Lepisosteus oculatus: one gene and its partner. The protein of the gene in region 2 purifies or fractionates together with the protein of the main gene of each other region. This does not show direct contact. Links are inferred from orthologs where the notes say so. Each region holds a gene or a part of one and is shown on either strand. Other genes may lie near its edges.

Region 1 (7,363 bases), on a different chromosome or scaffold from region 2:
CAGCAAAGATCTGGATACAGATCCCACCAGATGCGATACAGTCTAAAACAACCAGCCACATCTTGGAGAAAAAATATTATTTTTAACCTCTAATAAAAAAATATCCAATTTAAAAAAGATTTGATAAACTATACATATAAAAAAACGTAACAAAGTGATCCACAACTGATGAAGGCATGTGAAAACTACATAAGGTCACGGTGTACAATGTAGTGGAAGGACCATGTGTTCCACAGCAGCAAGCCGAACCATTAAAAAAATGCCAACTTACCTCATAGGAATAATTCAGGGTTTCCTCATCTGCTTGCTCCTGCTGAACAATCACCTCAGACTGGAAACCTCCTTGGTCTCCGTCTCCAGTCTCCATAAAATTCTCAGTGAAATCCTCGAGTTCATCCAGAACCGCAAATTCTACTTTCTTCTCCAAGTCAGCCTCCACGTCCTCACCCTTCCTCCCTGCATCTACAGTGGCATCACCCTGACCCTGCCCATCAGCTAACCCCAGATCGGCATCATGCAGCTCGCCGTTTACGCCATCACTGCTAAGCTGGGTGTCCGCCTGCACCTCCTGACCCTTCCCAGTGTACAATACCTTCCTGTCTTTGCTCCTGCTGCTCTCTGTAAAGCTCACGCTAATCTTGACGTCTTTCAGTAGCTTCAAGTCGGGCAAGAACTTGGTGACGGGCGGCGCGTGCCGAGCGGTTCTCGGGTTCAGGGGGCTCGAATCTGGCTCGTCTGCGAGACGGCTGGTGAAGGAAGCAGATCCCTTCGCGAGGAGCTGTTCTGCGCCAGTCGTTTCAGTGTCCCCTGCTGGGGCGTCTGTCTGTCCATCACCACCTGAGCTAACGTCCATTTCCTCTGCGTCACTGGACGTTTGCAGGGGAGGTGGTGGAGGCTGTGTGCTTGGCGGCAACGGTGGGGGACTATTAAGGCTGTCCAAGCTCAAAGCATCAGGTGGCCCTTGTGGGAGGGGCGGCAGAATTTCATCAGTCTCCATTTCAACAATGAATAATGCTATTCTAAAAATACAGAGAAGGAGGAAATGTATACAACTGAATTATTAAAAAATGATTATTTCTTTCCCCTTTAATGGAGGTTTTCGACTACTTAAAGACGTGTGGAGAAACATTCCTCGTTACTCTAAAACACACTCTCTTTTGGTCATGTAATTGTTGATTATGTTAAGCTGACTACATTGTTCTTTTCATTAATGTAGACAGCTTTTTAGAATCACTGTCTCAATTATTGGAAATCACAATGCACTCAGCTTAAATGTTGCCCATAGCTAGGCACTGTTCGTCTTCCATGGTCAAGTCTTCAGCGGAAAGTCCCAACTAGGGAGGAAAAACAAAAGAAAAAGAGCTCAGCGGGCAGGTGTCTTCTTATTTTGACAGTGTTTTTAGCATTCGGGTATTTCTCTATGATATCCTCCATCTTAAACAGAATATTTGAAGACTGCCTCATATTTGAAAGGCATCAGCTAGATAGTTCAATTATAGTTTTTCATAACTAATAAAGAAAAAAGATTAAATATTTTAAGGCACTTAAAGGCTGTTTACCAAATAAGGTCAACCATGATTTGTATGATTTGTAGGGCAGCTGTTATCTGCTTCTATTGACCCCTACCTTTTGCCTATACGGTCACTGCATATTATCTTTAACTTGTATTTTCATGTTTTATATTCACTATAGATATCTATTTTATTGCACTGAGCACCCACGTGGAAAATAATGAAAGATATTATCTAGTCTATGTTTTTATACAATAACTGAGTTGTTATTTATTGTAACCGATATTTGAGCAAGTAATATCGGAAGTAACCTTCCAATTTGTATTTCAAGAGGTGTCCAAAAACTACTTTTTAAAAATGTACGTATAAGAACTCAAATTGTGTTAAAAAATTAAATTGCTGGACTAATGACTTTTAAAGTACTATTTGCACAACCTACACACTGGGAGAAACAGTCCTTCTTGTAGTTTATAACACCCTTTTCATCCTTTATTCACACTGAACAACTAGCTAGAAAGGGACTGAAGTCTGATTAACGACACCCCAATAATCTCATTTCAACATTTTAAAGATGATCAATCTACTTCCGATCTCTTTTGATAGTACCGTACGACCCCACGGACCAGAATTCGGCGTCTGGTCCGTTTCCGAACTTATCTACATGAAAACAGAATAACGCGATTTAAAAGGAGACATTTAAATTTCTCGTAAATTAAAAGGATACAAAGACACGTTCTCATTCATACAGCAGTAACAGTCGCTGCCGAACGCGATTTATTTGATAATATCGGGATTTCTTCTGCCGATTGTGCTTGATACAGATTATGCTTAGAAACTATATGCTAAAATGTCACCAAAAGAAGTGCATATATCTCCATACGTAACTGAGCCAACTGAATGGGGCCTGTAACGCCTATCAGTGTCACGCTTTGCAAATGTAACTGTAATATCCTTACACTTACAGAACAGATGGTTTTTTGGGTGTCTTCTTGCCCGTAGAAAACAGTTTTTTTAAGCCTTCACATTCATACGATGAAAAATAATAAAACTCCGTGTCGGGTGGAAATCTATTAGGTTTTATTATTTTTTATTGTTTTATTTAGGTTAAACAAATACTGCTAGGTGTGGGTTTTCGGAAATATCTTATTACAACAAAGGCACAATTTTCTACATTAAAAAATAAATTCTAAATGTCTATCACATCCTGAGTTAACTTAATCACCCTGAATTTTGAAACATATATGAAGCTCGTTCATTTAATTTTTTTTTTGGTGCTCCACTACACAAAAAAAGACTCCCCCCCCCACAGTAACTCTTCCGGTATTTTAAAAACCGAAATAAATCGATAATCATTTTAGTCTCCCCACAGCGTCCAATTACTTACCTTGTAAGTAATAAATTTTGTTTTACACGCTTGAAATTAGTTTAAATTGTCAAGAAAATTATCTTCCATCTTGCTCACCACCGCCGCCATCTTTGAAAGAACACCAGTGGCTGCTGAAGCTCCTCCCCCCTTACCGGCTCGTCGCCGATTGATGGCGCAGTGACCAATGGTCGCAAAGGCCTGCAGAGACTAGCCAATCGGAGGTGAGAATGAGGCGTACGCGACTCTGCATAAAGAAAAGGGCCAATCAAATAATTAGATAGCAAAGGAACAAGTAATAGGTTTATTCCATGCTGAAAAAAAGAAGAAAGAGAACACAACGGTTCGGCCGTGGAGCTACGCATGCTGACGCAGCTACCCACCTGAAATAATTAGATATTTGCTGAACCCCCAATAAGACGACTGGGGTGGGTATTCCATTAAGTTGGTGATGGGCACTTGGTATAAAAGGGATATAGTAGTAGCATCTGGTCTGGGTTTGAGTTATTTCTGATCTAGGTTTTGCCATCTGTTTTACGATTTATAAAATATAATAATGACCTTTGGAGGTGTAAACAAAATGTATTGTTTTACGTAGACTCTGCTTCGTTTTACCGTTACATTAAATTGTGCACTAATAAAAATACAGTGATGGAACAACTAAGTTATGCGGTTAGGTCAGCAACTCTTACCAGTGTGTTTACAAAGGGCACAGCCGAACTCACCTTATTCATAAAAGTGAGTGCTTTGCTTCATAAGAAAAACAAGACATATCAGTGTATAATATCGCATCCTTTATTATCATTGTGCTTTCCAGTTGGAATAAATATGTATATGGTGCATCCCAACTACTACATCTTTAAATTGTGGAGATTTATGAATACAAATGCAAGTTACCAAAGTTACACAAATTGTGATTTAGATACACCAAAATAGTTAAACACGATGTGGTCCCATGTGTTTATTTCTCAAGTAATAGGCTAAATCTTGCATTAAAAAAAAGACACTAGCATACCGCAATTTATTCTGTACAAAAAAATTAACCACTAAGATAATTGCTACAGACGTCTTCGTAGCAAACGTGTCAAACCTGTACTTGAAATGGTAAAAACGATCAACGGTTGCAATATAACACTAGGGTGTCAACAGTGGACACTTCTTCAGGTACCAATGAACCTAGACAGCAGAGTTTGGACTGGGGGGGGGTAGGAGCTCTCTGTTGTTGCCACAGGGAGCACAGGCAAACTCCCCACAGAAGGATCTGAATCCAGGAGGCAACAGCCACGAGGCAGCAATACTATCCTCCAGATCACTGGTGCTGCCTGCTTCACACCACCCACAGCGACCAGCCTCGACACACAGGTCTTTAAAAAAAGGACTTCAAAGTTCTTCGTCACTACAAGTATATTGGAGTACTTTGAATTTTCACACCGATGGCATTGCTGTGTTTAAACTTACTCATTTATTATAAAAGGACAAATGTCAATTTTAGCTAAGGAGATTTTTATGTACACCTTAGGGTGTCAGAAAGAGAGGAGCGATGCTATAAGCAGTTGTTTAAAAACACATAGACTGGGTGATCCATGTTATAACAAAACACTTTCTGGGGAAATGACACCCCTTTGTTGTAAAATAACAGGAAGCCTGTTTTTACATTCGATAAAATTCAGTGAAGTATTAATAAATACCAACACAAGAGGGCAGTACAGTAAAGCGCAGTGCCAATGCACCAGACATCACGAGTATGAAGTTTCAAGGTTATAACATGTTCTTTCTACACGTTACAGAGAAGCTACATCGCAGTTACTCAGATTTCTCAAAGTCCCTGGCACTCATTAAGAACAGAGAAAATCTCCAAAGGAAATAAAATTATTCTGCATATGCATTCTTCAGCACATATGAGAAGCCAGTGAGATGTCTAATATTCATTACTTTATTAAAAATATTATTCAATATTTTTAATATTAATCACCATATATCAAGCACATTAAAAAGACAATAATACCAGGGGAAGTACTGCAGTCAGACAATGGCACTATTGATATTTGTCCCTTATAATCTGAATACATTCTTTCAGTATCAAATTCTGCACAGAAATGTTATATTACTTATACAGCACGAACACACTGTGGCCTTGGTGGTTATATTCAAGCCTTTTCACAGCGCTGAAGTCTTTTTCAGTTGCCAACATTATCTACTACTGTGATAATACAGAATTGTGTAGATCTCTTCATTCCAGGTGACTTATGGCTTAAACAAACAGAATATACAATATATTGTATATATGTATAACATTTGCAAAAGACTATTGATGCAACTTATTAGGAATACACAATCATCCCACAGGTTTCAGTCATCTGGACATCATATTCTATCCACTATCATGACATTGCTACCGATTTATAGGTTTATATTATTTCTTGATAGCCTTTAATTATCAGTTCATTTCTTTTTTTTCTCTCTCAATTATATCTGGTTTTACAGAATATTCTGTTTATTGTACTTTTATTATTGGATGAATGTAAAGTGCCCTGAGAATGTTCTGTACCGAAAGGCAAGATAAAAGAACAAAAATGGTAAATATTTGGAGTGGACTTGGAAGAACTGAGCAAAGCAACGTCCAGAAGCTCACATTTTGATTTTGTTTACTGCAAGGGTCCCAATTCTAGACCTGGAGGCCCACATACTAGCTCAATTAGTTAATTGAAGTAATTCAAGTTGCTTAATTGGAGTATTTTACCCTTGCTCTAAATTCAGCTAGGGCAATTGATAACCCAGCACTCTCATATCTACTGACTTGTGAGTTTACACCACTGTACTTTCACAATTTTACTTGCAGCATCACCGCCCTGTCTCAAACTCACGCAAGGAGTCTATCAGGACACATGAGGTGACTGTGGGTGACAGACACAAGAGTTAAATCAAAAAGACTATTCCATTAGTTTTTGGTTTCAGTGCACTAATGAACAGTAGACTGGAAGCAAACAAAAAAAATATTCACCTCTGCCTTTTGGGATGATGGAATATAGCCATGGTCAGGGTTCATAATTAATGAACTATAACTTTAAAAGAGTCTAGAGCAGCACTTTCACAACAGAGCTAAAACCTCTGCCTAGAATATCACTGTTTCCCAAAGGAGGACACACGCTATGTAAGTGCACAAGGTAATTACGCAGAGCTTACATCAGCAAAGAAAACCAAACATCTTTATAGAACAAGGACAGACAACTGTCTCCTCAGCTTTTACAATGAGTGCAGACACTACAAACCCAGCACAGATGCTTGTATTTATAGCACTTTACGATTGTGGTATTAAAAGCCAGCAAGGAAATTCCATGATGACCAGAGCATCCTGGCTCTGAATCAGAATTACACACTATTCAAAACGCATAAAGACTGACGTTTTGTGCTTCTTTTAATGGCATGGATTGCAGTGCAGTTTTACTTGGGTCTGGACATCAATAACCCTGCCCTTCAGCCCTCTCTATAATAACAGCGCTCAGGGTATGATTTTACCAAGGACTGCAGAGTAGCAATTATTGCTAATGCGATTTCAGGGTGCAGCCATTAATTTAAAGATGTAATGCATATTAAAAAAACATTAATTTTGAGGTTAGTGGGTGAAACATTCAAAGTTAAGCCATACTGGTTAATACATGTCTTTTTTCCCCATGCACTATTAAACGAAAGCCTACAACTACATTCTCAATGCACAGATAACAGCATTGGGAAAACATCTAGTTAAAAACCAAGAAATGGAGGGAAAGGTCCTGAATGGGACATCTTGCACATGTCGGCTGTAGCTACATAAATCATCAGGGTCTGTCACAATACATGGCCTCCTGGACACAAAGGGGAGGAAGGAACTTTGAACTCCCCCTCTGAACAAAACTAACCAACTAAACTACTAAGGAGAGGACAGTAACCTTCAGCTTCAGGGAGTGAAAAAAAAAAACTTGGAAACTGAACAATGATGATGATTAATTAGTCTCTCCCCTACTGTATGACACCTGAAAATAATAATCCTTGCTGCTGTGCAAGGTTGAACAATGAGCGTGAAACATTTAATATGGCCACTTTGTTAAGTGGTTGACATAAATGAAGATGACAATTTCTGAGCCTATGAGAGGACTGCTGGGCAGAATCAGACCGATGTAAAACATGAAGGCTTTGGGAGGGGATCCCAGGGATTTGGATTCACAAAACTAAGGTGGAGAGCGGGTCCAGGTCTGGTCCAGGTCTGGTCCAGGTCTGGTCCAGGTCTGGTCCAGGTCTGGTCCAGGCAAGGGCCTCCTTGATGCCTCGCCACCCTGTTTCTGACCCATGCTTCCTCAGCATGTGCATGACAAACAAAAAAACACCACCTGGAACCATGCAGCACCGGGGGCGTTTTGTTTTTACGATATCACAGTGGTAAAAAGACACTCCAGAAACACAAGGGACAATGGTGGAACACAGAATTGCTATTATCCCTTGCTTCTTTAAGTGC
Region 2 (7,933 bases):
GGCGAATAGTGAGCATGTACCTAATTCATCGCTGGTAGTTCCATACATTTCTTTCACCTTGGGCAGGTCTTCATCACGCACTAAATTGAAAAAGTCTTCCACAGGCCGTGATGGATGATGACCTACCGCTTTTAAATAGACCCTTACGCACCTTTCCCACACGTATGATTTGCGCGTCACGTTTAAATTCTTGCCAAACTGCAAAAGCGCGCTGCAATATTCTTAATCTTTATAATACCTTTCTACATCCAAGAGGACTCCTGAGAAACAGGCTGAATAAAGCCTGTTTCTCATCTAGTAAATTCACTGCGCCAAGGCCATCTAGAATAAGTCTAGGAGGCGACATTATATTTTATGTTAATTCCTGACCTTGACCTCCTGACATTTAACAACATAGTGTTTGGTTTGCAGATAAACCTGAATTATATTTATTTTGGGGGGCAGGGGGAGAGAGTTCCTGAATATAACTGTAAAAGTGCAGTCTTTTTACAGCCTTCCAATACAGTGCAAACCTCATCATATAACCACAAAGCTGACTGAAGTACAAAATTAAAACAAATGCAACTTAATATTAGAAATACACCATGAGTGCATAAGTCAGTGATACTGACTTGTCCCTGTGTGTGCACACCTCACTATTGGACTGACTATTGCCCCGTCTAGCACATTGTGGTTCTGGGGGATGGCCATCACTGGCAATAGGAAGCTTTCTGATAATGAATAATGAAAGTCAGATAAATGTATGTATCATGGTTTTGAATAAGGAGATATATTAGTGCTTTTGACAAAAAAAGTTTTAAAAAAACATTCTTCCATGCATCTTCCCTGGCAGAGCTGGAGCTTGTCCCGGCAAGTCAGGGTACACCCTGGACGGGACACCAGTCCACCACAGGCACAAACTCACACCAGGGCCAGTTCTCCCAGAGGCCCATTAACTTACCAGAATTCCCTGGACTGTAAGGGGAAACCCACACAAACACCGGGAAGAACATGCAAACTCCACACAGATAGCATCCCAGATCAGGAGTCAATGCTAATCACAGTGCCACTGTGCGGCCCGATTGACAAAAAATTATAATTCCTTGCATGTATATAATGATAATAATTCCATACACTTATATACCCTTTTCCTGAAACTCCACTCGAAGCGCTTTACAAGTAATGGGGATCCCCTCCACCACCACAAGTGTGCAGCTCTACCTGCATGATGCAACGGCAGCCAAAGTGCACCAGTACACTCACTCAGTACATTCTTCAGGTGAAGAATTAGACACAGGTTCACCAGTGATATTAAAGAAGGATGTTTATTTGGGGAGGCCAGACTGAACAAGCCCAAATAGGAGTTTAGCCTGGACACCAGGGCTAAGACCTCTGCTCTTACTGACAGTGCTCCGGGACCTTTAATGACAAGGTCGTCTGGACCTTGGTTCAATGTATCACCTGAAGGATGCCACCTAGTGACCCACCAACACCCCTTACCAAAGCAACCACAGCTCAGCGGTTTGGGTGAAATTATTCAGATAAACCCACCACAAAGAAATCCAAGTGATTATTTTCACCCATAAGCAGTTTTATGCCATACAACATCTTTAAATGCAATGTGCTTGCCCTCCACTGTCTCATCCCAACAATAACCCCAGGCGGCACAGCTCTGGACTGAAAACACAAATGCTGACTAGTATCACCATCCTCTGTGAATTCCTGCAGTGATAAACTTTTAAAAAGCTCCATCTTGGTGAAAATACTGGAAGGGAAAAATGTGTTTAATGGAAAATGTGTAACAGTAAAAAGCTCACAAAAGTAATCCAACACATTAAAATGAAGAGGATCAAGTGGTACCTTCAGATACGCCATATTTTGTTTTCAGTGGTGTAAACCAACTAGACAGTTAATGCAGCATTTCTTGGAATCCCCAGACTAAAGTGTACAACAGCGAAAACGTAGAACTGGTATTTGAGTAATTATCCCAGAAATGTATCTTCTAGTTGTGGAAAGAGAAGTATTGTATATGTGGCAGTCAAAATAACTTGTCTTTTGGATCACTGGTGATCAATCGAATAGTAGCTCAGTGCCGTAATACGGTAAATACACCACAACAGCAAATCGCACCTAAGGTCATCCTCTAGAAAACAGACTCACTTCACTTAACGTGAACATTAACTGGTTCAGTTAAGATGAATATAAAATTATTTTAAGAATTTACTACAGTATTCAGCAAAGTGACAGTAACGCTGCCTCGTTTACCCGAATTTGCCTCCTTCTTGATTCGAGACTATTATGCGACGTTTGAAGATTTGACCAGATACAGCAAATGCACGTTAATACAAACCAGACTTAGAACAAGATGAAACAGCTCTCACCTCAAGGCCAAACCCAGAGCTCCGGGTCTCCATCTTACCTAAAAATCGTGGTTTGTGTCTGTATCCCGGCTCCGAAGCTGTGGGGAGTCTTGTGAGAATAACACCGAAAGCCTTTTCTCTGTACAACACACACAACACAAATTTACTCCTCAATTCGCAGCACCCGGCTTCTCAAACGACACCGTATTTTCGCGAAAATAACCGCATGAGCTCCAAGCCCCACCAAACTCCAGATTGTAAACAACAACGAAACATTTTTAAACCGATTTCTGTATGGTGTTCATTGTACACGTGTGGCGTCGTTCTGTTTTTTAAAATATAATTTGCCAAATCTTGCTCGGTAAGATAACGTCATTTAGTGCAGTCTCTTGTAGCCTTTGTTCTTCGTTAAACACGCCAATGTGCGGTTAAAATATATCCGTCATACGTTTTATTTGTATCTTAAAAAATACATGAGCCTCATCTTTTTCATATTTGTTTTTCAGGTCATATATTTTATGTTTTAGTCCATCCAGGCTTTCAGTGTAGGCCTACATCGTGTGATATATATATATAATCAGTCTTACTGGTGTGCTCGATTTATCCGAAGAATATCATAGGTAAGAGGGCTGTAATGGCAATGAAGCACAGCCTGTTTTGTGTTGTTTTTGTGGTAATATTGTAATTAAATAGTGCGACCACAAGTAGGCAGTCTTTCACCACATTTCATCTTCATCTCCCTTTTTACACTTAAATCCGTAAAACAGTGGATAGAGTTCCATTTGTTAACGTCCCTTCCGTGCGTCTGAAGGTAATGAGTAAAAATAAACAACGAAAGGATATGGGTTAGGAAGGATGCAATTGAATTGCTGCTATGATAAAGGTTCTTTCATAGACTACTAAAAAAACAGACTTCTAGATGCAAAGAAAATATTTTGTCGAACACATTGGGTGAAAGGTCCGTGTCGAAAAACCGCTAGCATGGGCAGTTCATTTTAAAACTACTAATATCAAGGGATTTGTAGGTCCTCATTTAGTTCAGTTAAAAGGGGTTGAGGAGAACTGAAATTACTTATACTTCCGATGACCAAATCTGTTGCCATTTTAAAATCCAGGTCAATAAGACGCATGTGAATTAGCCATAGTCCAGGGAGGGAGGTTATCTTATAAGAAATGAAGAGACATGTTATTCTAAATTTTTATTTGATAATACTGTATATTTAATCCATTGACTGTATGCCCACATATGAATTATACAAAGCGTCAAAGACATGCATAGTCTGGTTTTCATTTTACAATGGCTCTCATGTGTCTCCAGCACAAGAAATCTCACTCTTCAGCAAACATCAGAGAAAGAAGAAAAAAAATACAATAAAAAAATAAAATGGCCAAATAAAGAAAAAACACAGATCACTCAAGATTTAAATTATGCGTTTTCAGATACATCTAGTACTTGAATAGCAACAAAATACTAAAAATACCATGTAAACTTTTGCTTTCACTTAACAGGTCTTGTAGGATGAATTTCTCTACGCAAGACAGAAATGTGTGTTTAAAGTAATGGACTGTTTTTTAGCAGATTTGCCATTACTGTCTGGGACCTGAATGCAGATAATTACATCTCCTATTATTTCAAACAGTTGAATATCATTAGAGCAACACTCTGCAGCATTTAAAATCATGTTGCTTGGTGTTTTATCAGACCAAGATAGTTTGACTAAACCTCTAAGTATTGATTTCCCCCATCTGAAATGAACTTATGTGAAATCTGGAACTTTTACTAATGGCTGGGATGAACCAATGTTCAATAAATGTAAAAAAAAAAAACATCACTCATCCTTAAGTAAAGTGTACTTATTTATCAAACCCAATTAATCAGTTAACAGGCTGTAGTACAGTTCTTGTTGAATGATGCCTGCACTTTGCCCTTCATGTATATGGAGACACAGTAACTTACCCTACAAACATCTCTGCAAGACAGCTACTTTAACATATTGCCACAGATCAGTTTATTTTCAGTGATACAAATGCATAAAACTATTACGCAATTAATTCCAGAGATTTCAAAATGACACTGAGAGCAATCAAACTGCACAACCCAGCGGTCTGGAGTCACTGCGATATTTCTCCAGCAAAGCACTGTGCGTTTATGAAAATGGCGTGATACAATAGTCTTTGCTTAGGAAACTGTCTTTTTTGAGAAACTATATTCCATAGTGATTTTAAGAAAAAAATATCAGTATGAAATGCAAAACCAGGAATACTGCTTTTTAACAAATCACCATGATCAATATGGTGTAGGCGTTAAGAGTATTGGGAGAATGAATGAAGAATATTATGATACTGAACACCCTGGATGCTTCCTTATAAACGTACTCTATATTTCTAAATCGCAATACTTGTTAATGCTCCAGGAATCAGATTTCTAAAGATGGATGTGCATTTATACCTGACCTGAAGCAATGGGATATGAAGTCAAAGAATACATTCCTTTATCATTTCACTTGTTTAAATTGTTCCTTTATTTGGTTTCAGTCTCCTGAAACACACTCTATAAAGTAGTTCCTGGCAATGAACACGGTTATGAACAACATATGGTTTCCTAGACATCACAATGTGTGCTGTGGGTCATCATAACCTCGAGCCCTGCCTTACAGCAACTCAACATACACAAATTGTGGGGGGGGGGGGGGATTTGAAGTTTCTATAGTACTTTAAAGAAAAAAGAGAGAATAAAAGCATTACATGAAAGTAGCAAGACCAAACAATAATATTAGAAAATCAATTGTATAAAGAACTAGAAGGTTACAAAACAAAAATTACAAAAATCAAGAAGAGGATTCAATCCTCCCTGTTTGAGACCTTCGTCTTTTGACCAAATGTCTCGACTCCTTAGAAAGTGCAAATCTAAAAAGGTCTAACCAAGATTATTAATAATTATAATAAAAAAGAATTTAAAAATATATGTATAAAAATAACAAACGTATATGCATAGGTACTGTACAGGGGACAGGAAGACAATGTGGACAGAGGATAGGCCATAGGAGCGTATAGGAACAACCACAGCAAGCGAGGCTCCATTACTTTATTGACAAGGCATAGACTGGACCAGTGAGACATCAGGAATCCCCTCGAGGAGGAGAAAGGTCAAATCTGTCACTGAACTACTGTTCAAATTGTGGAACACGATTACATTCCTTCATTTCCTAGCGAACTGAGGTTTCTCCGAGGGCTGAGTCTGGGTCTCGGCTTTCGCTTCCACCACAACGCCACAAACGCGACTGGGTTTCCAAATTCTGGTCACGACTACCTCGTGCGGACGGTTTCTGGCGACGGTTCACTCGGCCGGTATTCCAATCTGCCCTGTTCAAGGTCTAAGACCAGGAACAATCCCGCCCTGGGAAGAGTCTGCTGCTTTGGCAGAGGAGAGGCTGTGCCAGCTGTGCCCAGAGAAGCTGCTTCTGTACATTCACACCCCTGCACACTGCCAGCCAGCTCCCAGCCCCAAATACCCACAGTCCTCTTCACCCTGACATCAGCACTCCTGACGCCACAGGGGGCAGAAGGCCCAGCTGACTTGCAAACAAACAGTTTCAAACACTGATAGGCCTCTTATGTAAGACCTACTGTATGTCAGCAAACCTCTATTTCATGGCTCAGACTAAATCATGCCCTTTTACGACACGTAACAGTTTAAGAATTCCCAACACGTGTGAAAAGCATCGTGAGCACTATTTTATTTTCAACAGGGTATCTCTTGGTGAACCGAGAAAGTGCTAAAGGCAACGACTGGAAGAACGCACAGGTCAGTTCTTTATTGCGTCTCAAAACTGCTAGAAATGAGTAGTTCAAGCCTTTGGTTCAAAATTTCCATCTCATAAACCATGCATTTTTTTTTTTACACATAATGCTGTCATTCAGAAACAAACATCACAATATTCTGGGAAGTCCCGCCTCACCATGAATCTGATTGGTTCAAGCTGCATGGTTATGAGAAACAGGAAATGTTCAGTGAGATTTGACCTTTGGAGATTTGGCTTTCAACAGGATAAACAACACCTTTGTTGTGGACAAAGATATTGTTATACCCTTGCTATAAGTAAAGCACAAACCAATGTTTGGTAGGTTATTTTAATTTTGCTGTATTATTTTTTTTTAAAGAAGAATAAGCGCTTTTTGGGGCAGAAAGTGCTGTCCTCACAAGATTGTCCCTCACACACTGCCGTAGTTGCTGCAAGGCTTCTTGAGGAAGTGACGTCATCACTCGACCAGTCTACATCTGTTACGTTTTAATAATCTCACTGTTTATTTAATTATTTATAATGCTCTTTTTTTTCTTCTTATCGTTTCGCAGGCGGTGTCTGCCGGCGGCGCAGAGGGCACGCGTGGGCGGGCGAGCAGGGGGGGGTGGGGGTGGGGGTGTGTGTGTGGGGGGTGGGGGTTTAGGGGTCCTCAATGTCCAAGAATTCCTTCTTGGGGGGCGCCACTCCGCGGTACCAAGCACAGGAGCCGTCACTCCTCTTGATGCAGGCGTAGTGGTTGGCCTGACGACCGCTGATGCTCTTCTCCATCACCCAGTCCGTCCACAGGCACTCGTCCTGGCTGTTGATGATGCACGGGATGGAGGAGCAGCGCGATATCTGTGGAAGGACAACACCCGTTAGCTGGGGCCGCGCTCGTCTTCCTTGCCAGCGCCGCCGCCGGCCGCTGCACAGCATCCCGGGGGAGGCTGTGCTGCAAAAACGAGAGACGAGGGACGAGTTTCGCGCTTTTGGCTTTAAAGCAGTTAACATCAGAACACAGGGATGGCCACAAACAAGATAAGAGAGAACCGAGACACTAAAAGAGGAATGAGGGGCACAAAATATGATGTTTAGGAGCAGGAACTAATCCTATGATTAAGTCAACGGGGGGACTGGTTGCGTCGCTGAGAGCTGGGCTGGAAGAAAGCCCGGCAGGCCCGTGGGTATCCTGGACCCGGACTGGGAATCGCCACCCCATGGCCAGACCGGTCCCTCCTCACCTTGCACTCACAGCCCATCTGGTACCGCTGGTTCAGACTCTTCTTCTGAGTGGCGCTCATGGACTCCCAGGGCACGATGAAGTCACACAGGGTCACGTGCATCTTTCCATCCGCTTCTGCCTTGCCTGGGGGTTACAGGGACAGTCGCATCAGCAGCCAGATCACCCTGCAGCTCACCGCTGGCAGCCCACTGAAGCTCAGCAGGTGTGAGCCTGGCCAGTACCTGGAGGGGAGACTCCTGGGAAAGCTAAGGCTGCTGCTGGAAGAGGTGTTAGTGGGGCCAGCAGGGGGCGCTCATCCTGCGGTCTGTGTGGGTCCTTATGCCCCAGTATAGTGACAGGGACACTATACTCTAAAAAGGCACCATACTTCGCATGAGATGTAAAACCGAGGCCCTGACTCTCTGTGGTCATTAAAAATCCCAAGGTGTGTCTCAAAAAGAGTAGGGGTGTAACCCCGGTGTCCTGGCCAAATTTCCCATTGGCCTTTACCAATCATGGCCTCCTAATAATCTCCATCTATGAATTGACTTCATCACTTTGTTCTCCTCCTCACTGGTAGCTGGTGTGTG

What was found. Proteins that work in one complex are often made in the same cells at the same time.
Region 1: the proteins of usp36 (region 2) and dgcr8 purify together in Homo sapiens (affinity purification with western blotting; 3 studies listed by BioGRID, with this or other methods). This does not show direct contact. The link is inferred for Lepisosteus oculatus from reciprocal best matches to the Homo sapiens genes USP36 and DGCR8.

What each region holds. Positions count from the first base shown.
Region 1 is NC_090717.1:2,990,105-2,997,467, reverse strand, and holds the start of dgcr8 (microprocessor complex subunit DGCR8), read right to left. Parts: upstream 3,018-7,363; 5' UTR 2,896-3,017; intron 1,335-2,895; 5' UTR 998-1,334; coding exon 272-997; intron 1-271.
Region 2 is NC_090704.1:41,287,872-41,295,804, reverse strand, and holds the start of usp36 (ubiquitin carboxyl-terminal hydrolase 36), read right to left. Parts: upstream 3,009-7,933; 5' UTR 2,927-3,008; exon of another isoform or gene 2,479-2,926; 5' UTR 2,361-2,478; intron 1,745-2,360; 5' UTR 1-1,744. Other genes in the region: timp2a (metalloproteinase inhibitor 2a), read right to left, coding at 6,782-6,979, 7,363-7,487. UniProt on the Homo sapiens protein: Deubiquitinase essential for the regulation of nucleolar structure and function. Required for cell and organism viability.